Lonchura striata: one gene and its partner. The protein of the gene in region 1 binds, or shares a complex with, the protein of each later gene. Links are inferred from orthologs where the notes say so. Each region holds a gene or a part of one and is shown on either strand. Other genes may lie near its edges. The genes, in order: CKB and ASB9.

Evidence for each region.
Region 2: the proteins of CKB (region 1) and ASB9 are in contact, whole or in part, in a cryo-EM structure (PDB 6V9H), measured with the Homo sapiens proteins. The link is inferred for Lonchura striata from reciprocal best matches to the Homo sapiens genes CKB and ASB9. Residues at the interface, in NP_001814.2 of Homo sapiens: Asn63, Pro64, Gly65, His66, Pro67, Tyr68, Ile69, Thr71, Arg130, Arg132, His191, Val198, Ser199, Pro200, Leu201, Leu202, Leu226, Trp228, Glu232, Ile238, Met240, Asn286, Arg292, Gly303, Lys304, His305, Glu306, Lys319, Arg320, Gly321; in NP_001026909.1 of Homo sapiens: Leu25, Asn27, Pro28, Leu29, Met30, Gly31, Asp32, Ala33, Val34, Ser35, Asp36, Trp37, Pro39, Glu42, Ile45, His46, Trp60, Ala67, Asp68, His69, Glu75, Ala100, Asp101, Trp102, Val111, Asp133, Leu134, Ser165, His166.

The regions. Positions count from the first base shown.
Region 1 is NC_134608.1:10,102,218-10,114,297, reverse strand, and holds the start of CKB (creatine kinase B-type), read right to left. Parts: upstream 7,830-12,080; 5' UTR 7,713-7,829; intron 6,886-7,712; 5' UTR 6,866-6,885; coding exon 6,673-6,865; intron 6,226-6,672; exon of another isoform or gene 6,216-6,225; coding exon of another isoform or gene 6,038-6,215; intron 5,566-6,037; coding exon 5,411-5,565; intron 4,504-5,410; coding exon 4,371-4,503; intron 3,516-4,370; coding exon 3,344-3,515; intron 1,880-3,343; coding exon 1,756-1,879; intron 1,091-1,755; coding exon 901-1,090; intron 355-900; coding exon 176-354; 3' UTR 1-175. UniProt on the Homo sapiens protein: Reversibly catalyzes the transfer of phosphate between ATP and various phosphogens (e.g. creatine phosphate).
Region 2 is NC_134604.1:100,004,933-100,017,012, forward strand, and holds the start of ASB9 (ankyrin repeat and SOCS box protein 9), read right to left. Parts: upstream 8,299-12,080; 5' UTR 8,064-8,298; coding exon 7,970-8,063; intron 3,342-7,969; coding exon 3,262-3,341; intron 2,286-3,261; coding exon 2,178-2,285; intron 1,261-2,177; coding exon 1,110-1,260; intron 543-1,109; coding exon 408-542; intron 1-407. UniProt on the Homo sapiens protein: Substrate-recognition component of a cullin-5-RING E3 ubiquitin-protein ligase complex (ECS complex, also named CRL5 complex), which mediates the ubiquitination and subsequent proteasomal degradation of target proteins.

The DNA of each region.
Region 1 (12,080 bases):
GTTTATTTCATTTAATTTTCAGCAACATCTCAACCATCAAAAAAATAAACTCTAACACAGATGGATGGAAGACTTCTCTACAGTGTAACTAAGTGGGCTCTGACCCCAAGGGTTTGAATTGGAGTGACATTTTATTATTCATCCAATAAGTTAGGAAGCATGAGAATAAAGTGCTTTATTTCTGAGCTGGCATGAGGTCATCAATGGACTGGCCTTTTTCAAGGCGTTTCTCCATTTCAATGAGAAGCTTCACTCCATCCACCACCATCTGCACCAGCTCCACCTCAGAGAAGCCAAGACGATCAGCATTGGAGACATCAAACACTCCTCCAACAGCAGCTGTGTCCACACCACCTGCAGCAAGAGATTCAGTTACAACACTGACCTCAGCCAGAGAACGTGAGTCTGCCCTTCTTCCCTCACTAGCCTGAGGCAGGGACACAGCAGGACAAGCTGCCACCAGTGCCTCATCCTACATACATGTGTGACTGCCAACATGAACCACAGAACATGCAATTAGGCCAGCTCTTTATTCTTCTGACCCGTAAGCAATCCAACCTTAGGTCACAAGTACCCACTGGAGCCATCTCCTAGCCATAGGTTAAACCAGGATTCCCACCCTTGCTTATGAACATGAACAGCTGCCACCAGGTCCCCTTTATCTGCTGCTCAAAATGGCACCCAGGACATTAGACAGCCAAAGTATGCACAAAGTGGACCACTGCCATCCTCAACTCCTCCAATATATAATTTGAAAACTTTTTTCTCTCCATGTGCTTTACAAGGGTTCCTTTTGGATGGTGTGACAAGCACTGACAGTGTGAACCAAGAGATGGCTCTGGCCATAACCAGGCTTTTGCTGGTGTCTTAGGGCAGCCCATCAGTGTTACCAACTCTCACCTGTGCCTCGTTTCTGCAGACGAAGTCTCTTGAGGACTTCTCCAAATTTCTCATGTTTCCCAAGGTGTGGGAGCTTGATGTGCACACCAGCACGAAGCCCTGTTCCGAGGTTGGATGGGCAGGTCAGGATGTAGCCCAGGTGTGGATTCCACATGAACTCATAGTTTTTGCCCTTGAAGAGACTTTCTATCTATAAATAGAAAGAATGAAGAGAGAATGAATAGAGATGTTCTCTACCTCAAGATTGTAGGACATCCATTAGTGCTCACTTGCAGCTTCAGTCACTCAGCAACAGCCACAACACTCAGAACACCTATTTCAGCCACATAACCCCCTCCCTATAGAAAAAACGGCCACCAACAAGGGGCTTTTAAGGCCTTCATCTTGCTCCTAGCAGTGAGAGAGGCTAAGACTAAAAGCTATGCTTCTTATGTCACTATTTGTTGGGAAGCTGGATTGAATACATGTCAAGCTAGCACATCTCTTATGATCAGGAAAGGGGCTGGTAAAGCTCAAGCTCATATCAAGACTAGAAGTACAGAACTTGAGTCCAGCTTTGCCCATGCACATTCAAGCAATTTCTCCTCCTCCCTAAGGTGTCTGAAGAATTTCTTTAAAATACAGTTGAGACATTTGGATAAGGGTGCCACCACATCAAGCAAATATTCTAGATTACACAGCCACAAGGCTTTTTGCCAAAACACCTGTTCTGAAGCCCTCACAGCCCTGCATCTCACCAGGGTGTTCCCAGAGATCCAGACTATGAAACACAACAATGGAGGAAAACTGCATTCTCAGATCTAACCAGAGAACCATGTGCCATTTGAACCTACAGCCCAGACAACAGCAATTTACCTTTGTTAGTCCAGTACAGAAGCGGTTAAATACTTCCTTCATGTTGCCACCTTTCTGCATGGAAATAACTCTAAGGTGATCCTCCTCATTGATCCACACAAGGAAAGTCTTGTTATCATTGTGCCTAGGAGACAAAGCAATCAGTTTGCTGTCTTGCCCACCTCACACTTTGAAGATGGCCCCAAATTGCTCATCACTGCAGTTTTTAGTTCAAGATGCTCACTTAGCTGCTTCAACAAGATTGATCTTATTTCTTTTGCCCACACAGGATGTGGGTTAACCTGGTAGTTGTTACCCTGCTCTTTTCAAGAGGTAATTTCAATTGGCTTTTACAGAACGAGTAATAACAAGGCATTGCCTAATCTTACAGTATCAAAACCTAAAACCCCCACATCCTCTCATCCTCCTAGCTCACTTGTGTCTCCACTTTAAAAACTAAGGTATTTCTGCTCAGCAATTTGCAGAAAGGTGATCAGTAGACTTTGAGAATGTCCTGTACAATAATGTACATGACACCATGTGTAACAAGCCTGTTTAGCAGTATTGTGTCAGATTATGTCAAACTGCACTTCGTACCTTACTTTCAGTATGAATTTCACTTGGATCAGGGCTCTTCAAAGATGCTATATAAAAATCTTCTGAACAATGGGATCCTCCTGCCCCAGCTTGCAGCTGACAGCAGGTACTATCATCCATGTTTATCTTGCTAGTAATTTCTGAACTCGATTAGGATCAAAAATTAGCTAGTACCCGAGGAAAGTTATTTATGCAGACAACACTAAGACATTACACACTTCAAGTCTGTAGATTAGTCATGCTCAGATGACAGCGCTATCTGGTGCTGGCAATCTGCAGGTAGATGATGCAATCTTAAAGGTGACCTACAGAAACAAAGTGTGCTTCCACTGGGTTGTACTGAAACAGCTGCAGTAATAAGATTGGAGCATTCCTGTTGATAAAAACCTAGCCCTTCGCTTACAAGGGAGCAAGTTAATTATGCTGCAGAAGCTCCTGAGATGCAGTTTTATGTAGGTGACCTACATTTAAAACCAGCAGGATCCTTCTATTCCACACCTCTGCATCAGTCAATTCCTGTCACCAAGTCTCTGAGGACAGGGAAGATCTCATCACTAGCACAGATAAAGCCATACTAGTTCAGCCCCTTTGAGTTTCTGTAAGCAGAAGTGAAGAGACAAGGGAATAACTGTGCACCCAAGATCAACCCTGAGCTAAGACAATGCTATGGTTTGTACCTCAAGTTACTCTCAACTCTTGGTGGAAGAGCTGACTGTAGTGGCACATCTGCTCCTTTACAAGTGATCTACTTCCATAAGCTGATCCAGTTTTTGCATGGTGGTTCACTAACCCATGCAGGCTCCGGTTCTGGGCTAACACCAAGCTGGCTTGTTTTTACCAGCATAAGAGCACTTGTCAAAATTTTGCTGGTTAACTGCAAGTTCTCCATGGAAGTTTCTCATCAAATACAGTAACACAAGGTGAGAAGCTACTGTTTTGCCCAACAGTACAAGTCACCACTGAAACAGCAAGATTTTAACTTCTATGACTGCCTCCTCACAGACATACTCACCAGATACCCCTGGCATCAGGCCAGTCTCGTGCCATCCCAGATGCCAACAGAAGAGGAGAAACTGGCTTGTCAAACAAGAAGTGGTCATCAATCAGCTGCTGCTGCTCTGCATCAGTCATGTTCCTCAGAGCATAGTACTTCCCCTTGAGATCACCGTCCAGACTACCCAAAGCTGAAAGAGAGAGATTCTTTTAGAATGGAGCTAAAGGTTCTACACTTTCCCAGCACTTTGGAGACCACACATCAAGTATGGCAATGTTTGATCTGCTGGGTCTGGTTCCTCCCTTGCTTTCATCTGCAATAGCAATGCCCTTGTGGCAGAACCTGAGGCAGTATCAGATGATTTGTCTGCACCTTCCAGGCTCGTACAACTAGCCTTTGTTCCCTTACATGCAGTATAGAATCATTACTGTTGCTGAACTGTACAAATGGAGACTGCTTTTCTTCCAAGGAGAACCAAGGTTATGAATGTAACAAGCAGTATTATTCTTGTCAAGGACTGTTACCCTGCCCTTGAGAGGTTTTGAGCACCAGGAGGCAACAGGGAAAAAAAACAGCTGAAGAGCTTCACTGAAAACCAGGGCTTACTCTAGTCAGCTGCAGATTTGGAACAAGACTACAATCTCTTAAGCAAGCTGAAAGTTAATGAAAGTCAATTAAATGCAGCCACAAAACACTGCACCCCATGACTCAAGCCCTGTAGTTGCTACATACCTGTTACATTTCAGGTTTGAGCCCTGATGAACCAACTTGTCTCCCCACACACACAGACAGAAGCTTTTGAGATCAGCAGAGGTCAACCTTAATGCAATCCAACTTCCCTCTGCCATGTGCACTTGCTCTCAGCTACAAGCTGCAATGCTGAGGCAGCTCTAATGCAATGAGCCTTTTCCAGGGAAAAGGCTCCATGTTCAGACTGTCTCCAGGGAGGTGGCTTTTGCCAAGTGCTTCCATTTTCAAACTGCAAAGAACACCTCTTGTGCAAAGGACAGAATGATGTCCCTGAGGCACCCAGTTCTCACTTTACCTTCAACAGAGAGCTTCTCGATAGCCCGCCTCTCTCCTCGACTGCAGTGCGGGGGAAGACAGAATCCACGGATGCTTCTGCCAGTTCTGACACGGGAACTTAGCACATAATTGGGATCCAGATCATCACCTCCCTACAAGATTAGGAAACCAGCAAGCACAACCCTGTTACCAAGATAGCTCCCCTAAACACGTGTAGCCCCCATGCACTTAAGAGTGCACTTTACACATGAGGCATTGACTCCATGGCCTGTAAGCAGTGCCTCACTTCAGGGCTACTTTCTTCAGCATCACATCATGCATCTGTGTAACACAACTCTTGCTCTGAGGTCAAGGCTATAGCTACTAAGTAGTCCTAGAAGGCAGGGATATCACCAGAGCATCAGTTCCAAGTCCACTTCAGACTGTGGTCTGGGCTTCTGTAACCCCTTACAGATTCGCAACCTAGCAATATCAACATGAGGCAAAACCTTCTTTAAGTACATGTTTACTCTTGCAAATGAGAATTATTCATTACTGTTCTCCCAAGTCTCTTATTTTCAGTATGATTTATGGCTAGCGAATCATGGAGTTAGGAATTCCCAGAGTTTAGTTTACAGTAACATTTAAAATCCATAAAATGATTAAGAATCCTTACTTCCAGCTGTAATAATATTTCGTTGACAGCACAACACCATCAGCTGCTAATTAAGATCCAAGATCAGACAAAAGAAAGCTTAAGTTTTATGACAGTCCGTGAATTCCACGACAGTGTTGTTAAGGTTGACTGCTAGAACCCACAACTCAGGAAATACACACTGAAGGTGTTTGGCACAACCCACGCTTCAGCAGCACCTGTAAAAAGCTCCTGCTGCATGCAAGCTGCCCAGCCACTGACATCCCACAGCAACAAGCTCTTCAGGCTGATTGCACCAGACTCACAGCCCAAGTGTCCATGCTCGGTGGAAGCAAGGGGACAGAGCCTGAGCAATCAGTTTAGGCAGCTGCCAACAACTTTACAGTCCTCAGACTAATAATCTGTAATTGATCAAAACTTTATACCTGCAGGTTATCAGCATTCAGGTCAGTCTTGTGCTGATCACTTGGTTTGTAGCCACCATGCCTGTCTTCAATAACTGGATCAAAGAGCTCCTTGAACACTTCATAGGATTCTTCATCACCAGCCACGCATCCTACTGTCATTATGAAAGGATGGCCTGGAGTGGTAATAAAGTCAGAAGAGCTAAGTTTGGGTGACATTTGGCTGTACTCCAGTGCAGCACTAACCAGGCAAGTTGTTTAGTGGCAAGTCTAGTCACTTAGAACTCCATTCTCACATAGAAACATTTGGAGAGACCCTACATTTTACACTTCATCCAGTTAGTCAAATGCAATGCTATGGCAACCCATAGCTATTGTCATTAAACCATGCTCATTTGTCAAGCTTGGTTTAGGACAAATTTGCACAGCACATCTAATTTGACTAGCTAATTTAGATCACTGCATAGAATTTTATGTCTAAACAATCATGCTTTGCTGCAAGCAAGCATGCTTTGCTTTTCGCTCCTTCTGCTACATTTCTGTAGTCTGTTTATAAATACCACCTCCACAAGATTAGCTTTAAGTCAGCATATTAAAAGCACCAGTTACTTCAGCTGGTTCACACGGAATATTCTCAATGCATTTTACCAGGATTATCAACCCCAGTCTGAATGACATCATCCAGGGTGAAGCCACTGGGCGTGACTCTGTCTCTCAGTTTCTTGTATAAATCCAGGGTTAGAACTTTGGCCATGTGGTTGTTGTGGGTGCTCAGGTCCGGATACTCCTCATCAGGAGGCAGTCTCTGATTATTTAGTTGGGCCATTTTGATATTGCTAGAGTAAAAATAAATACTGTAATGTTAACATGTAAACACATCTGCTCCCCCTTTTTCATAGAAGTGCTACAAAACATCATATAACCAGTCTGGAATAGGAAGAGATCAAGACAGCCAGGTAAACTGACTTTTTTTTTCCCCCCCCTCGCCAGATGAGTTATAATTAGAATGCATTTGGTTTGACTTTTTTTTCCCCTCTTCAGATTGAAAGTATTTAGCAGAGCAGTTACATAATTGAAGTGTCTGGGACTTGGTATGTCAGATCACAGCATGAAACACAGCTTGATGGAAACATGGCCTCCCAACAGAGCCATGCCTTTAGAGCAGTCTCTCAGTGCTTTAGATTTGTCCCTCGGTAGCTTGAGAACTTTGGGTAGCATTGTCAAGAAGCACTTCCAGTCAGGAGGGAGAACAGATCATTATGCAGACCTAACGATCCCATTACCTGGGTTGTCAACCCCAGTCTGGATGCAATCATCCAGGGTAAATCCACTGGGAGTCTGTTTATCCCTCAATTTCTTGTACAGGTCCGGGGTCAGCACCTTAGCCATGTGATTGTTGTGAGCTTTCAGGTCAGGGTACTCCTCCTCTGGCTTGTACTTCATCTTCAGGAGGTTGTGGCTGTTTGAGAAGGGCATGGCTGACCCTACCGCAGTCACTAGGGGAGAAAGACGGGAAGCCTATCACTGGGCGTTTGGCAGCCTCCGGACCGCCCGGGGGAACGCCAGGCACCCAAAAGGTCACCTTGGCTCACGTTCCACCCGCGCCTTTCACACCTTTGCTGCTACATCGCCTTCCACAAGCGCCAAGGAAGAGGAAAAGAAAATAAGTTCTTCGCCTCCACTAGCCGTGCCCCGTGCCCACCACCCCGGCCGCAGGGGCAGAGGTCCCGCCGCCTCCCGGGGCGCCGCCCGGGTGAGGGGACGCGCCCAAGGTCAGCGGAGCAGCCGCAGCAGCGCCGGGCGGACCCGCGCGGCTCCGGTGCCGGGGAGCGGCCGCGAGCCGGGGGTGCTCGGCCCCGCCGGGACCCCGGGCCGGCCGGCCGGCGAGCTGGGCGGCACCGCCGCACCCTCGGTGCGCGGCCGCGCCTCCCCTCGCCGCTGCAGGGCGAGGGCAGCCGGAGGAGCGACGGCGCCCTCCGCGTCCGCGACACCCGGCTGCTCCCCGACCGGGGAGGGAGGGCAGCATCCGACAAGCCCTTACACAACAGGCAGGTCCCTCAGGGGACTTGGACGGGGCGAGCGTATGTAACTACCCTGCTAAATACCGGGTTAATCTGGTTTTAGAGCCCAGCCAGCCCGGCGAGCACCTGCGCCGCTCCCCACGCCCCCCGCCCCGGCTGCGCCCCTGCCCCGCGCCGCCCCTCCTCAGCCGGACCGGCTCCACCCCACACAGCGGGAGAGGGAAAAAAAGCAAAGGAAAAAAAAAAAAAATTAAAGCCTTTGTTTCAAGGCTGCAGAACGTCTCGGCTGCCCCGGGACTTACCGCGGGCTTCGCAGCTACAGCAAGAACCTCCGCGCTGCTCCGCGTAACGCACTGCCCGAGTCCGAGTGAAGCTGCAACGGCCCCGCCGCGCATCTTTTATATAGAGCCCAAGCTCGCGCCCCATTGGCCGTTATTTATAGCCCATTCATTCCATTGGGCCGCGCAGCGGCGGGCGGGGCGGGCGTTGCGCCGCCGGCCGGGCCCGCGCTCGCCGCCATTTTGCTCGGCGTCGGGGAGCTCGGTCGGGGGTGGCGGGGTCCTCGGCCGCTGCCGCGGCGCTGGGGCGGCGCCGGCGCCGTTCGTTACCGCGAGCGTGAGGGCAGGGATCCGTCCGGTGTGCCACCGGCCAGGGCGCGCCACCGCACACCAGCGTGGCTGGTTACAGGCTTCACACCTTTGCCAACACCTTGGCCGAGGGTTCAAACGCAGGTCTCTTAATACACCATCCCAAAAGAAGCGCTGTGTAGTGTGCGGGCTGGCCGTGCTGCGAGCCTGGCCAGTGGCAAGTGCCCCGAGCTGGCAGAAGCCCTGAGGCGGCTGCGAATGTGGCGCCCAGCCCCCGGCAGCCCGGTTCTGCAGAGGGAGGACCTGCACCTCGCCTCCAGCACCTGCGAAACCGTGGGCTCGTTTTACAGTTCAATTTGAAAGGGAAGTAGGGTGATTGCGAAAATCGCAGTGAATCCTCTGCTCTTGTGTGCAAAAAAAAAAATTCTTCAGCTTTTATTGGAGAGGGGGTGATTTCCTACTAAAGACAGGCACAGGAACTCTGGGATCTGACCCATCTAAAGCTCACCTGAAATTCATGAAAATAGAGACTTGCACTGGTCTTTTTGTAGGAATGAGCAGGTTTGTCCCAGAGCTAAGACGCAGCTCAGAATCCTGCTGTTTGCAGAAATTACAGTATATTAACAATGTGAATGAGTATCTTGATTTGACTTTCACCTTTACATAATAGTATCTTTATCTTTCTCTGACGTGTTTCTCACAGCAGAATCCATGTTTATCCTCCTGTCCAAACAGAGTGTAGTTATACATGAGAGTGCGGATCTGAGTTCCAGAGTTGCTTTCATTGGCATGAGCTGTGAATGTCAGGAGACATCACCTGAACCGCTCTCCCCATCACAATCCTTTCAGCACCATGACCAGTACCCTCACCTTAACAACAAACAGCATGTGCACTTTACAGAACTGCTTAGGACTTAAAAATCATAATATACATATAGAGGAAATCATTGCAAAATAAAAAGCCTAGACTGCTTCAAATAAAAATGTGCTGTGTTTGGCTGCCATCCAGATTTCCGAGTTATTCCAGGTCTGGTAGACTGAGATGCTGAGTATACAGATCTCCAGGAGAAGCCAAGGGCTCAGCATCTGTGCAAGTCCGGTCTCTTGGCTTCCGGATCAAAGAACAAATCCTCTCTCTTGGTCTCCTCTGCACTTTTAACCTCACAAAGTCCTCCCCTACACACTAATAGTTTCACACAGTGCTCATGCTTCAGAATAATGTGAATTGCAAATAATGCATGGCTATACAAGTATTAAATGATTACAAGTGTAAAATTGTACCTAGAGTCCTCAATAAATTACAATAGAAATGAAATATTACTGGATTGCCTCAGCTGCAAATATAATTCTGATTGCAGATTTTTTTAATGTAAAGCACTAACATTTTTATTCTTAATTTGAAATAGAAATATACTAAAACAACCTTCTTACATTATGGCATATTTTTGTGGTGGTGTTCTCCACAAAAAAAAAAAAAAAAAAAAGGCAATCAGTGTAGATTCTGAAGGCTCCTTTTATCTTAGTCCATAATCTATTGCCACACAAACAAAGAAGCAATCAACTGTTCTGTAGTGTAATTGTTCAGGAGAGTTGTGGAGTCAAGGTCACCTCAAGATTCAAAATCCAAGGATCTGTTTCATCGCATATGCTCTTCTTCTTTTTGTCTTGCAGAACAGGGAATACCAGTCATGGTGAGCAGGTAGAAGTCTCAATGTGCCAAACATTACAGCACTTCCAACACAAACACACACCTCTTCTTCACAGAATTTGGGTGACATGGAAAGAGAGTCAGGAACATAAAATCACTAAAATATATCCAATTTAGATGTCTGACAAACAATGCACCCTCTACCCCCCTCTTCTCAACACTATTTGACAAATTTCTAGCGTGCAGTAAGTCAGGAGTGGCTGGGTTTTACTCAGACAGCATTTTAAGATTTGCTGAAAGCTGTGTGTAAATTGGATCCTATCTTTGTCACAGCATTCCATGCCAGCTTCCCTAGTGACTTAATTGCAGATGCTGTGCCCTGTGTCAACAGCCTCTGATCACCCGCTTTATCTGCCTCATCTGCTGGGAAACACTGGCTTTGGATAAGCCTGTATGGCCTGTTAGACTGTGATAAAGGCACCAATACTCACTGTCTATGCTGGGATGGTATCTTAGTGAATACTGATTTATATGCTACATTTCCAGTTGGAAAGGTGGCCTGATTACTCCAGAGGTCTTTGCACTGAACTTTAACAATGAAGAATTAAAGGAAGTTAATCAAGGGCCATGCAGCTAACTTCCTAAGAGGCTTAATTATAAATGTTGTGTGGTGTGCAAGTGCAAGAGGAGATGGGTGTTAGCTAGTGAATGTGTCTTCTGAAATTACTTGCGTGAACATAATAGAGACCTGAAGAATTAGGGGATAAATACCATCTTGGAAACACAGAATAATATTCCAAATTAGGAAACAGCAAGAGAAAGTGGTTTGCTGTGAACAACTGAATTGTTTCCAATTCCTAATCTACAACTAAACACCACTTGAAAATTAAACATAACACTCATGTACCAGTAGATTAAAGAAATTGGCCATAGCTCCATCTGCTTAACTTGTCAAATGAAACTTCTCTTCCCATTTATCACTTAAAATGTATTTGCTTATTTATTATCCTTGGTGCATTTTTTCTCACTGTTTAGGCAGGCTGTTGTAAATTACTGATTGTTTCCAGTGAGCTGAGTACCTATGGAAATGAGGAGTTGCTGAGTGTCTCAATCTTGCACACAGTCAGGCCCACAGTGATCTGAACAGCAGCCCATCATGGGAAAGAAAGGACATGAGAACATAAACAATGACAAATATAACCAATGACACTAAAAATGACAGAAAATTAAACAAAGTGGGTGCAAATATAAAGGCACAGTAGAGCCATGATTGCCAGTCAGAAAAACAGCTGAGTAGGAGTTTGCAGCTTAAGAAACCTCTGAAACTGCATACATTATGTTTAGATTAGATGGAGAAGAGTTTCATAACTAACAAAGACTACTGCAATTATGTTATGGGCAGGTCAACACCATAACAAAAAATATGTTCTCACTGAAGGTAGTGGGAAAATATCCCTTATTCTTGGTGGAACCAGATTAATTTAAAAAATCACAGATCATCATCTAAACAGCTCTCCGTTACTGGGTTTGTGATTGTGAAACGATGACTTTTTCTCCATTATTGTGTATTACAGGTTACTGGTGAATGCAGCACAGTACAGAGGATTATCTGATTTAGCTGGGAACACAACCTGCACGTCCAAGGTGATTCACATGCTGCCTGCTATGCCCATACCGCTCCCATGCCAGGTGGCCTGGGCTTGTTGTGAGCAGAAGATGAGGCAATATTCTCCTCCTTTGCTCCACCTTGCCTCCTGACTACAGCCCCCGTACCACCAGGGCAGGCAGGGCTCTCCACATCACTTCAATCCTAAACATGAGACAGAAGTAGGAGTTAGTACCATGCTGTTAGGGGGTTAGATAACAATTCTGCTGCTTCTGAGCCCACAGTGTGGTTTCTCCTGCAGCCTTATGAAATCCCTGTGAAGAGCTTGCTTGGCCTTTCCCTGAGGCTGCCCCGGGGGAAGGGCATGCAGAACTTTCTGGAAGCTGTGTGCCTGGGGGCCACGGAGGCAAGGCCCAGCTCTGCCAATGGCAAAGTCATTCCCTGGGGAAGGGGTTTCAGCCCTGCTGGCGGTGGCCCTCGAGACACCCTACACGTTCAAAGGGTGATGAACGCCAAGTTCCCACCGGGGCTGTCAGCACCCATTGCAGCTTTTCCCTTCAAGTTTCACTGACAGGGCTGCTGCCCGAGGCAGGAGCACCCGCCGGGGTGCCGGGGGGCTGCTGAGGGTGGTCAGTGACCGCCCCCGCTGCCCAGGACCCAGCAAGGAGCGCTGAGAGGACGGGGCGGGGGCGGTCAGCAGAGCTCTGCGGGGACAGGCGCCTCGAAGGGCTGAGGGGACGGGTGTGCTCAGCGGGATGGATGCTTCGATGGGACTGGGGGCATGACGGGCTCAGAGGAACGGGCGCCTTGATGGAGCTGTGGGCATGGC
Region 2 (12,080 bases), on another chromosome or scaffold:
TCATTGGAAATCAAAACATGTTTGCAGAAATACTATGTAAAGGTGGCTGAGTCAATTGTTTTGGGTAAAGAGGAAGTAAAAAAAAAATTAAAATTAAATTTCTTCCTGTTGACTTCAAATAACTGCAGCATTACATGCACAGACACTGGAAAGTATAGCTTGTTCCAGACACAATCAGCCATGTGAAATCCAAGATCACCCATCATTTTGTTGAGAGCTATCCAGCTGAATTCCTGGGTCAAGAAAACCATGATCACCCTGCTACCACATTTAACCAGGGCTGCTATTAGGAGTGAAACATCTCCTGGTCCCAAAGCAAGAGTTCCTCTAAATTTTTGATGCAAAGATAATCCAAAGACAGATGTTGCAGGAAACAAAAGTACACCATTCTTTATTTTTGTTTTTACCTGACTCCAGCAGCTTCCTGGCACAGTTCACTTGCTGGTTCTCACATGCTACATAAAGTGGAGTACCCAGGTGCTTGATGTTGTGATCTATATTTACCCCACGGGATGCAAGGAGTTCGACACATTGCACATGACCTTAAAAGGGATAAAGGAAGAGTCAACTCACAGAGATCAGGCCCTTTTTTTTCAGCAAATTCTCTGTTACAGCAGTGTAGTTTGGCAAAGATTCAATGTTTTGTCAAGAGGTGGTAATGTAATGACTTTAATCCACTCCAATGGATCCAGCCAGCAAACCAGGAGCTGAAAAGCCACATTCAGCAAAACAGGCTCACAGGCTAAAACCCTCACATTTCATCTGACTCATTTCAGATGTCTACTGAAGATGAGATTAATCACTCCATGTTTCTCTCCACTCCTTTTGAAGACAGCCAGATGTCTCCCTCAAATGTCCACATTGTATGCAGCTGACTTGGACAATGCATTCCCTTCCAGGTGGCACGACGTGAACTCAGAGGATCTGACAGCTGAGCTGACCTGCCCCTGAGGAGCAACAGGCTGGGAAGAACGGCACCCCTCATGATGAGACCAATTAGCAAGGCATTTTACATGACCCAAACCAAGAAAATTATCTTCTTTATCTCTATCCACCACTTCAACACGCTGCTAGCAGCATGGACAGGAGAGCTGATGCCTGTGGGTTACCTCTCTTAGCAGCTTCGTGGATGGGGGATGCCAGGTCACAGGGTGAGTGTAGGCTGGCTCCATGCTCCAGCAATAAATTCAAGCAAGCCACACTGCCACTGACACAAGTGTTGAACAGTGGTGTGTGCCAGTCCACAGTCACTCCATCCACCTGGGAGAAAATAACACAATCTGGCAAAACCTTTGTCTTCTTGATATGTCAGAATTGATGGCAACTACCAGTTTCTCAGCAGGAAATAGGGGTTTCAATATTTTTTATTTAATTCTATGCCAAAACTCCCCAGTGCTTCCAAAGACTACAAGTTTTCATTAAAATGATAATTTAAAAAGTATTTTTTAAAATTTCCCCCAAGTCTCTCCTACTGCAAAAAAAGAAAAAAACCAAAAAACCATCAGGGCCACTCTAGGGTCTCTCAGGAGTTACCAAGCTAAATGTATGACCATTTCTCAGTTATTTTAGCTGAAACACACCTACCCATAGCCTTCTCCTGAAACAGTCCATTTTTGGTTGAAAGTGTGCAACCCTTCATTATTATTTTTTTTTAATTTTAAACTGAAAGGTAATATCTGTAAGGTAATGGATGTATGAATGAATGTCCTTATTCACTACAATTTTGATATTAGCTTGAAAAGTAGTGGCCATGAGACACGATTTCACCATTTTACTTGCATCTTGTTTCCATTTTCTTCCCATTTTTTGTCAGTTGGTTGTCACAATCCTATGATTCTACTTTAGATTGCATATTGATACCAATAAGATTAATGCATGCATAAAATAAAACACACCCTTAACTGCTGCAGGATTATAAACACTTTGCAAGATTAACTTCCCCTTGTTCTTGTTACAGATGAGAACATTTCATCCTCATCTAAAGAACAATAATAACTGTTGCTTATATCTGTACTTTTTTTTTTTTTATTAGGAAGTGCATTTCATAACTACCTTAAGCAGAGCTATGTACAGAGTGCAAACCACAGAGATACTCTGCCATGACACCAGGTAGCATTACAGTGTGGTAGTACAGCATACTAACACTAGAGACAGAGGTCTGTCCATCACCTACTCACCTGAGCACCATGTTTTAACAGGACACTGGCACAGGCAGCATGACCCCCTAGGCAGGCTTCATGGAGAGGAGACACCTGGTCTGCTGTAACAAGATTGACATCATTCCCCTGATAAGATAATGGAAAATATCATTACAAACAACTACTAAAACCCCCATACCAAAATCCACAATAAAAAAAAAAACCTGCTTTAAAAGCTTTATGTAACTAGACCTTCCTCAACTGCCTGGAGCTATTCATCTCAGAAGTAAGCAGATGAAGGGGATGAAGAGGTGGTAATGATTTGGGTGGAGTGGATACTGGCACAGGATACCCGAGGCCATGCCTTGTACACACTGAAAACCAGCACAGAAAGCTTAGTGGACTGTCCAGTGGGACAATATATTGTGGCTGTTTGACTAGCTGGAACCCTGAAATGCTCTTGAAGTATTTTCTGCTCTTTGCCTCAAGGCAACCACTGAAGGAAAGAAAGGCATCAGAAACATTGGTTGGATTCTCCAGGTTCTTTTGTTTCTATCAATCTTGGTGCTCAAGAAGACTAAGCTGGAAGAGTCTCCAATGCCCCTTCCCTTTCCATTATCTCCTTCACAGGTTAAACCCAGGGATTTTGAAGAAACAAAGTGGTGAAGTTCAGAAGTCATTTCTACCTATCCCTGACCTTCTGGAGGAACTAGGATATGCTCAGGCACTTCAGAAACAAGTGTCTGGGTGACTGCATTGAAGCTCAACCAGACCCATGACTGGGTCCAGAGCTGGCCTTCAGCTGGGGCACCAAAAACTCCTCACTGGCATGCACAGGAGCTGCAGAGGAGCTGCCCTTGGCCATCCATAGATCCCACTGATCCCATTTCCTCTGCCACAGTTAACATATCACCCTGGATAGTTTAGTACATCTTCAGATTAGTGCACAAAGCTTGTACTGGGCAAGGAACTGATTGTAGCGAAGAAAAGCCCGTTGCATGCAGATTTTGCTGTGGCCTGGTTAACAGGATTTTCTCACCCTGAAGTTTCACAGTGAAGCACAGACTGCATTCATCCACTGAACAAACCCTGCAGACACCACATGAACCCAGCTGAGAGGTACCTGTTCAATGAGCTTCTTCAGGGAAAGCAGACGCCCATGGATAGAGGCCTCATGTAGAGGAGACCAGTCTGAAACAAAATCTGTATAAAAACAAAGACAGGAAAAAGGCTAAAACTTCTATTTCACTAGCATATTTTACTTCAACTGTGTGACCTCCCTTCTACTTTATTTGAGCTGCCAAGATTTCTTTGGAGCAGATGGTGTGAGGGAGACAGACAAGAAGATGGTTTCCCTCTGGGTGCATTTTTAACTCATCCCATGTTTGCACTGCACAGCTGTGCTCCCCTTCAGAAGACAGGAGGGATTTGCAGAACATCACCTGGCTCTGGCTGAGCTTATCCCTCTCTCCGAATTATTTCCAGGGCCCTTTATTTTTTTACATGAACTTATTACATTTTACCAATTATCTCAAAAGGAATATGTTTGAAGAGAGTTTGGCTGATCAGTCATTTACCCCGGCTCAGAGCTGGACTAGAGTCAACAACACTTGGCAAGAGAAGGGACCAAAGTACAAGGAGGCAAAATATACTACCTGTTGATTCTGTCTTTCTGTTTTCAGTGTTTGTTATGAGTGGTGCATTTTAAGTAATAGCTGTGCTGTCTGCATTGTTGAAACTACAAAGTGAGGTACAGCACATACATAATGTGCAAATATTAATAGAGAGAGATCTTCAGTATTACAGATTTTATGGCTCAGAGTCAACTGACAGCAATAATCCCTCTGGGAGATATTTATGTCCCAGCACTCAAAACCCAGTGTCTGCTCTATGTCAATGTGCTAGGTTCCCCCTGGGAAGGAAGGGAAGCCTTTACAGAGGGCATTTCACACAGCTTCCTGTTAAAAGACATTTTGATGTTCTCTGGAGATGTCCCACTCTCCTCCACTAACTACAGAGAATACTCCAGTGACCAAGTTGCTGGCTGAGTTGCTGAGGTTCTCAGGAACTATAAGAAAGCACATGCATGGAATGGAATCCTTAACAGCAGGAAGTCTGCCTTCAGCAAAAAACCCTAATAAGCCTATAATTCTTTGAAAGAATGTTTACACATAAGCTGATGATCATAACGGTTTTAAATAAAAAGAAGGTATATTTAGGCCAGACATTAAAATGTGGTGGTGGAATAATGGAACAGGTTGCCTAGAGAGGTAGTAGATGTCCCTTTTGTGGGAAGATTCAGGTCAAGGTGGGTGGGACTCTGAGAAACCTGGTCTAGTGGAAGGTGTTCCTGCTCATTGCAGGGGTGTTGGACTAGACAACCTTTAAAGGTCTCTTCCAATCTACACCTGGCTATGAGTCTATGAATTAGCTTTTAAAGAAATCTGTATTCTTTGTTATTAGCATTATTTGAGCTCTGCCTGCCTCCTATGCTCCATGGGCTGCTTCCCACAATAGTTACACAGTTTCATTAGGTTCCCAAATATCTTCAGCTTTAGCAAACAGACAGGCAATTCTGGAAGCTGTGGTTCTAGTTCATGAGGATGGCAAACCTGGACAACAATTATTAAACCACAGACTGATTAACTGACTAAAACATCTTTGCTCTAAGTGATGTGTGTTAAATTGATGCTTATCTGACTGTGCTGTTGCTCTTGTTGGTCCTGCCTGTGTTACAGTCACTTGTGTTTCCAGGGTTTTTACATTTAGAAACTAATGCCATTGCCTAAATTGCATGAGTTGTAAGGGAAGTATGTTTATAGATATTCTAAAAATCTAGATTTAAGTACCAAGTTTTTTGAGCTGCAACTTGAACTTTTTTTGGCTACACAAATATTGGCAGGCACTTGTGCCTGTACCAACCTGTGCATTATACCAAAGTATTATATCATCATGTCATGATGATATAAGAGGGACATATCCATGTGTGGATTTTATCCATTCAGTCCTTGCTTAAGAAAAGACAGGTTTCCACTGAAACTCTAAAAAGAGCCAGACCAGCCATCTGTAGACTGGACATTGGCTTGCAAGTTTCCAAGTTTTAACAATGAATTAAAAGATTGACCATATAGGCATTAAAAATAAATGTCAGTAAAAAATAAAAGAGATATGTGCTGACACGTAATCTATCTGGGAGTTCCGTAACTGAGAGAAACCTAGAGTTTTATCCTAGGTGGAAGTGGAGCCCTATGGAGCCCTAGGGAGTCTGTCACACCAGCCTTGGACACCTTGGGAGGAGCAGGATTAAAGGCCTGACTGATGACTAATTGGGATGACATAATTCCAGATCTGCTGCCATGAACTGCACAGCCTCAGGCTGATGTTTCTCCTGCCCTACCTCCATCTGCAGCAAGCACTTCTAACCTGAAGCAGTGCCAGGAAGGCATTGGAATGGAGGCCCTTGGAAAAGATGGCAAATTTCTTCAGTTTCTTAACCCCAGGCATCACCTTCTCACAAATAACCATATTTCTTTTTTCTGCCTGCTCCAGGCTGGAACTCAAGGTCCTTGCCTGGAAGAGGAGAAAGGCTGCAGTAATTTCCATGTCTCACTGCCCTCTTTTACACTTCACAGGAGGCACACTATCAGAATATAAAAGATGTGTATTGTATTTGATTAAGGCCTAAGCAAATGTCAATTCTAGTTGATTATGGGCTTTCAAAATCCCGAACTAGTGATTTTCATGAATGTGCCCAGAGCACTCTGCATATGGACTAGCAAGGCCAGTGTGTGTGGGGGATGCAGTGGTTCATTGTATGTACCACCACCAAAACAAGGATTCCTGATTGTCAAAAATAGTACAGCTGCTCTTTCACAAAGAAACAAGATAATTTGTCCAAATTTGAAATTTACCCACACCTTAGTCCACAGGGAGTCTGAGTCAGACCCCAGTAGTTTAGCTAGACATCTAAATCCCACTGGCTTTCAGTGGCTTTGGGTCACCTCCCCTTCCACTGCAGAAAACTCCAGCCAGCCCAGAGGTTACATTAAACCCCTGGTCATATTTGAGCACTGCCATCACTCAGGCATGTGACACTGGCAGGGTGGTGTATACAGAGGGAGTCTTATAGCAATAACCATGTACACATGCAAAATCTGACTGCTCCCTGTGCACAACAGAGCTCTCACAGGACCTTTCTAGAGCACTGGTTTTTGTTGTGATGGCTGAAGCAACTTTTTGCAGCCTCTGACCATGTGAGGGCATTGCACATGGTGCCTGTGCCTGTCCCCAGGCTGGTTTCTTCCCATGCCTCTCACATACAGCACAACTTGAAAGGGGCTCTTAAGTCCTCCTAGTGAAGGTGTGCTCTTGCATTCATATTTTCAGATACAAAATCCTATGGCATTATATAGAACAGTATTACAAATTGTATTTTCCATACTCAAAGGCTGTCCCTTAAAGTTTGTGATCTACATAGCTTGAGCTAAACACATTCCTGCTGGAAATTGCGAGCAGAGCTTATTGACTCTGCTAAGGAACAGGCAGACACAAAAGGAATGGACTAAACTTTGATTTTCAAAGGACCAAATGATCTGTGTGCAGCATTGTGCCATGTGGGATTCCGTCCTTCCACCCTCCATTTTGCTGGAGCTCATCTCCAGTGTGGACTGGTTCTATTTCACACAGTTAATGGTATCACTGTGCCTTCCTGCTCAGCCCAGCCTCAGGCTGTACATACATGGCACACACGGGGGCAGGCAGACTACACTGCAGATAGACTGGTCAGCCCTGCATTTTGGCTTTATGGTCTTAATTTTCAACTTAGTGTTAATGGAAGCATCCTGAACAGCCCAGAAAAAGAGCAAGGATAGCATAGTCACATTTTCTGAATTTACCTCATTCCATCTGCACTCGCCATTAGAGGAAGGAGTAACTTAACAGAAACAGAGCTACAGCGAACACATCCAGCTCAGGATACAAAGTTTAATTACTTGTCTTTTTTTTACCATGTCATATTTTCAATGGCTCTGGGCCAGACACAGAGCAATGACCAGAGTGAGGCCATTTGTCTGAGTAACTGCTCACTATTATGTGCCCACAACAGCACTGGTCACAGCAATGCCACTGAAGAAGAGCCCAGTAGGCTCAGCCTAAACAACACTTAGGTCTGTTCATCTGAAAGACAAGGGGAAAGGATAAAAGATAAAGAAAAAAAGGATAAAGAAGAAGAAAGATAAAAATGAAAAAAAAAAATTAAAATAATTAAAAGGAAGGAGAAAAAGAAGGAAAGTAAGGAGGAAGGGAATGAAAAAAGAAAGAAAAAAAGAAAGAAAAAAGAAAGAAAAATAAAAAGAAAAAATAAAAGAAAGAAAAAGAAAAAAAAAAGAAAAAAGAAAAAGAAAAAGAAAAAGAAAAAGAAAAAGAAAAAGAAAAAGAAAAAGAAAAAGAAAAAGAAAAAGAAAAAGAAAAAGAAAAAGAAAGAAAAAGAAGGAATTGAGCTACTGCTGAGCTTCCTGCTGGCACTAATTTAAGTCAAACACGCCACATTTCAACTTATTTCTCAGTGTGCTGCAGTCCAAGTGCTGCTACATTTATTTCTGCTTGCACAAACTGCAGTACAAAACCAACCACTCTCTTCTATGACACGAAAAAGAAACAACCAAAATTTCAGTATCAAACAGAAATAGCTTTTTTTTCCACGAAGTCGTGGGGGTGTTTTGTGGGACCGGGTGAGGAGCTGTCCTGAAGCAGGACCCGGGGAGCAGCAGCACCGCAGCCCCCGCTGCCCTCCGGCAGGGCTGAGGCTTGTGCCGGGCAGGAGCGTCACTCACCCCTCATCAGCGGGCTCCACGGAGTCGCTGCAGATGCCCGGCCTCCAGCTCCTTGCAGTTTGCTGGCATTTTGATTCGTTCTCTCATCATCCATCTCAGCCCTGCCTGCCCAGCCGCTGTCTTTTCACTCTGTGGCTGGTTTCCAGAGTTCAAATTCCATGTTCCCCGGCGAGCCCGCAGCGGCCGGAGCGCTCTCCGGAGCGGACCCCGCACGCATGAGCCGAGCAGCGCCGGCGGCAGCTCGGAGCGCGCAGAGCCGAGCGCCGGGGCTGCGATTTGACAAAGCTGCTCCCGGGCTGCCCTGCTCGGCAGCCAGAGACCCAGCCAAGCCAGAGATGTGCCTGATGTCACATCCTCTCCAACGAGACGCCCAATCGGGGCGCCCGCCGCTCTTTTTTATCAGGAAGGAAATTCTTAGTTTGCCAAAAAAAAACAAGACAGAAAGAGCCAGTTCGACTAGTTGAACAAACTCTGCCTTCAGGGGATGCGCAGAGAGAGCCGGCAGAGCTAGGGCAGGCAGAGAATAGGGCAGGGAGAGAACAGGGCAGGGAGAGCCGGCAGAGCCAGGGCAGGCAGAGAATAGGGCAGGGAGAGAACAGGGCAGGGAGAGCCGGGACAGGGAGAGCCGGGACAGGCAGAGAACAGGACAGGGAGAGAACAGGACAGGCAGAGCCGGGGCAGGCAGAGCCGGGACAGGCAGAGAACAGGACAGGCAGAGAACAGGACAGGGAGAGAACAGGACAGGCAGAGCCGGGACAGGGAGAGAACAGGACAGGCAGAGCCGGGACAGGCAGAGCCAGGACAGGCAGAGAACAGGACAGGCAGAGCCAGGACAGGCAGAGAACAGGACAGGCAGAGCCGGGACAGGCAGAGCCGGGACAGGCAGAGAACAGGACAGGCAGAGCCAGGACAGGCAGAGAACAGGACAGGCAGAGCCGGGACAGGCAGAGCCGGGACAGGCAGAGAACAGGACAGGCAGAGAACAGGACAGGGAGAGAACAGGACAGGGAGAGCTGGGACAGGCAGAGAACAGGACAGGCAGAGCCGGGACAGGCAGAGAACAGGACAGGCAGAGAACTGGACAGGCAGAGAACAGGGCAGGGAGAGCTGGGACAGGCAGAGAACAGGACAGGCAGAGAACTGGACAGGCAGAGAACAGGGCAGGGAGAGCTGGGACAGGCAGAGAACAGGACAGGCAGAGCCGGGACAGGCAGAGCCAGGACAGGCAGAGAACAGGACAGGCAGAGAACAGGACAGGCAGAGAACAGGGCAGGCAGAGTGTCTGTTTTGCAAAAGTTCTGTTCTCACAGGTCATCTCTATTTAAAATATTTTCCTTCCCAGTACAGTATAATTTACAAGCACAAAATCCTTTTTCTGTCACTGAATATTTGCGCATTTGTGTTCAAGTGGAAGTAGGCTTCTACTTATGTTCAAGTAGAATTTCCATGCAAATTCTAAACCATGTAATGTTTTTCTTTTTTTTCTTTTTTTTTTTTTTTTGTCCTGTATGGCTACTAGAGCAAAATTTGTGTTTGTGTATTTGAGGATTTGAAGTTGCTTATAGTATTTTGATTCTGATCCTAACTTAGCTGAGCCTAAGAAACTTGGTTTTAATTTTATTTCTTTCTGTAATGTATGCAAGAAATCTGGAATAATATTTAGGGTTTCTTTGTCCATATCTTTAAAAATAATAATTTATATTAAAAGATGCAAACAGCAGCTGAACATCATCCACACACTTTGCCAACAGGGAATCTGTGACAGCAGCCTGGGCACAGATGAGGACAGGGCCAGCCCTTTCCATGGCACTTCTTGCTGAATGCAGCATGGCCTCCCATGCTGGATACAAGCTTTGATCTCCCTGAAAATTACATTTGTGTCTTAGCCAAACTGGTGTGGGAAAAATGTGTAAACAGAGAACGTGGTGTATGTAGGTATTGTTTCTGAGGATTAACATGTAAAAAGAATGAAAAAAACCCATTTTTTTCTCTTTAGTGTTACTTGATTTTAGAGGTTAGGTTGCCCCTTTTCATGATTGATCATATTGCTGGCAGATCTAGTATTAACAACCATTTCAACAATTCCACCACCAAAAGGAATCCGTGTATGAAACCAAATGTGCAAGCTCAGAGCTGTGTTATCTTCTCTGATGACCAAGAAGGTAAATGCAGTAATGACCAGTGAGACCTGGTGCCTCAGGAAGTTTGCAGATTTGAATGAATTTGAATGGTGCAGTTGATATTCCTTAAGGACAGGATGCAACCGCTGGGGACCTGGACAAGCTTGAGGAGTGGGCCCATGAGCACCTCCTGAGGTTCAACAAATCCAAGTGCAAGGTGCTGCACCTGAGTCAGGGTGATCCCAGACATGAGCACAGAAGACAAGGGAGGAGAAGTCACTGAGGGCAGCCCTGCAGAGAAGGACCTGGGGGTTCCTGTGGATGAAAAGCTGGACATGAGCCCACAGTGTGCGCTTGCAGCCCAGGAGGCCCAAGGCACCCTGGGCTGCATCCAAAGCAGCCCAGCCAGCAGGTCCAGGGAAGGGGATTCTCCCCCTCTACTTTGCCCTCATGAGACCCTACCAGGAGTCCTGCATCCTACTGTGGGGTCCAGCACCATAAAAACATGGATTTGTTAGAGCAGGTGCAAAGGAGGAGCACAAAGATGCTCAGAGAGCTGAAGCACCTCTCCCATGAAGACAGGCTGAGAGAGCTGGACTTGATCAGCCTGGAGAAGAGGAGGCTTTAGAGAGGCCTTGCTGTAGTCTTCCAGTACCTTAGGGTGCTTATAAAAAGGAGGGAGAGAGACTTCTTACATGAGCAGATCATTCCAGACCAAATGTCAATGGATTTAGATTGAAAATTTAGATTTATATTAGATGCTAGGAAGAAATTCTTTGCTCACAGACTTGTGAGGTGCTGGAAATGTTGCCCTGGGAGGCTGTGAATGCCTCATCCCTGGAAGCATTCAAGGCCAGATTAGATGGTACTCTGAGCAACCTGATCTAGAGTGGCAGCCCTGCTCATGGCAGGGGCCTGGGACTAGATGAACTTTAAGGTCCCTTCCAGCCCAATCCAGTCTGTTGTGACAGCTGTGCTCCTCTGAGCTACATTTCAGATGCCCTTATGCTGACATGCAGCCAGATTACAGCAGAGAGTAACTAGAAAACACACAGATCCTGAGTTTGACAGACATAAATTATCTCCTGAGCTCTTGCTTCAGCTAGCAATTCAGGCATACCTACAGAGGCAGTGTGTGGCTTTGGCCTGGTGATCACCTTAATATTATTTAACCATCTATAGCCACTCTACTTCTTAAGCATCATTTTGATGTGAATGGAATCATCAAACTAAATTAAACTCCCCAAATAACACATCCCAAAACCAGGGGATTCCTATAGGTTGTTCTCAGCCTTGCTGAGAGCTGGAATATGCAAGAAGGCTTTGATTAATTTAATCTCTTTTGTTGCTGATCTTTTATGTAAGCAAGCAAAAAATTCTCCAGTAAAAAGGGAACATTTTAACATCAACCTGGATCTCAAGATAAACAACACAGAACTTCAAATACAGATTAGAAACAGCTTACACAACACAGAGACACACCAGAGCTTTTAAGCATTACAATATTATTTTCCATTTAAGTAGCAAATACATCCCTAAGTTCTACATAAACAGGCCTAGTACAGAAATTACTTTATCCTTATTCAAGTGCAGCCATCCTTGGTGCATAGAAGTGCACAATAAAGTGGAATCAACAACAGTTAATATTACTTTTTTCTATTTACATCATGTCTTATAAAAGGAATATTTTCTTTTTCCTCCTTCAAAAAAAAATCTACATTTTTTGTAATTCAATGGACTGTTCTACTGTCTTGGTTCTTTTTTATTTCCAGTTGTTAATCAATTTTTTAACTTGTCCAGATAACTTTTATACCAATTTTATTACTATTAGCACAAATATTGCTTCAAAAACGAAAATACACTACTGGTAAATCTGTCTTGGTATGAAAATTGACCCTTGGTTTCTGAGGATGCAAATCACAGAATTACAGGAAATGTTTGGAAAATTGGACACAAAACATAATTTAACTTCAATTAACTTAAATTTAGTC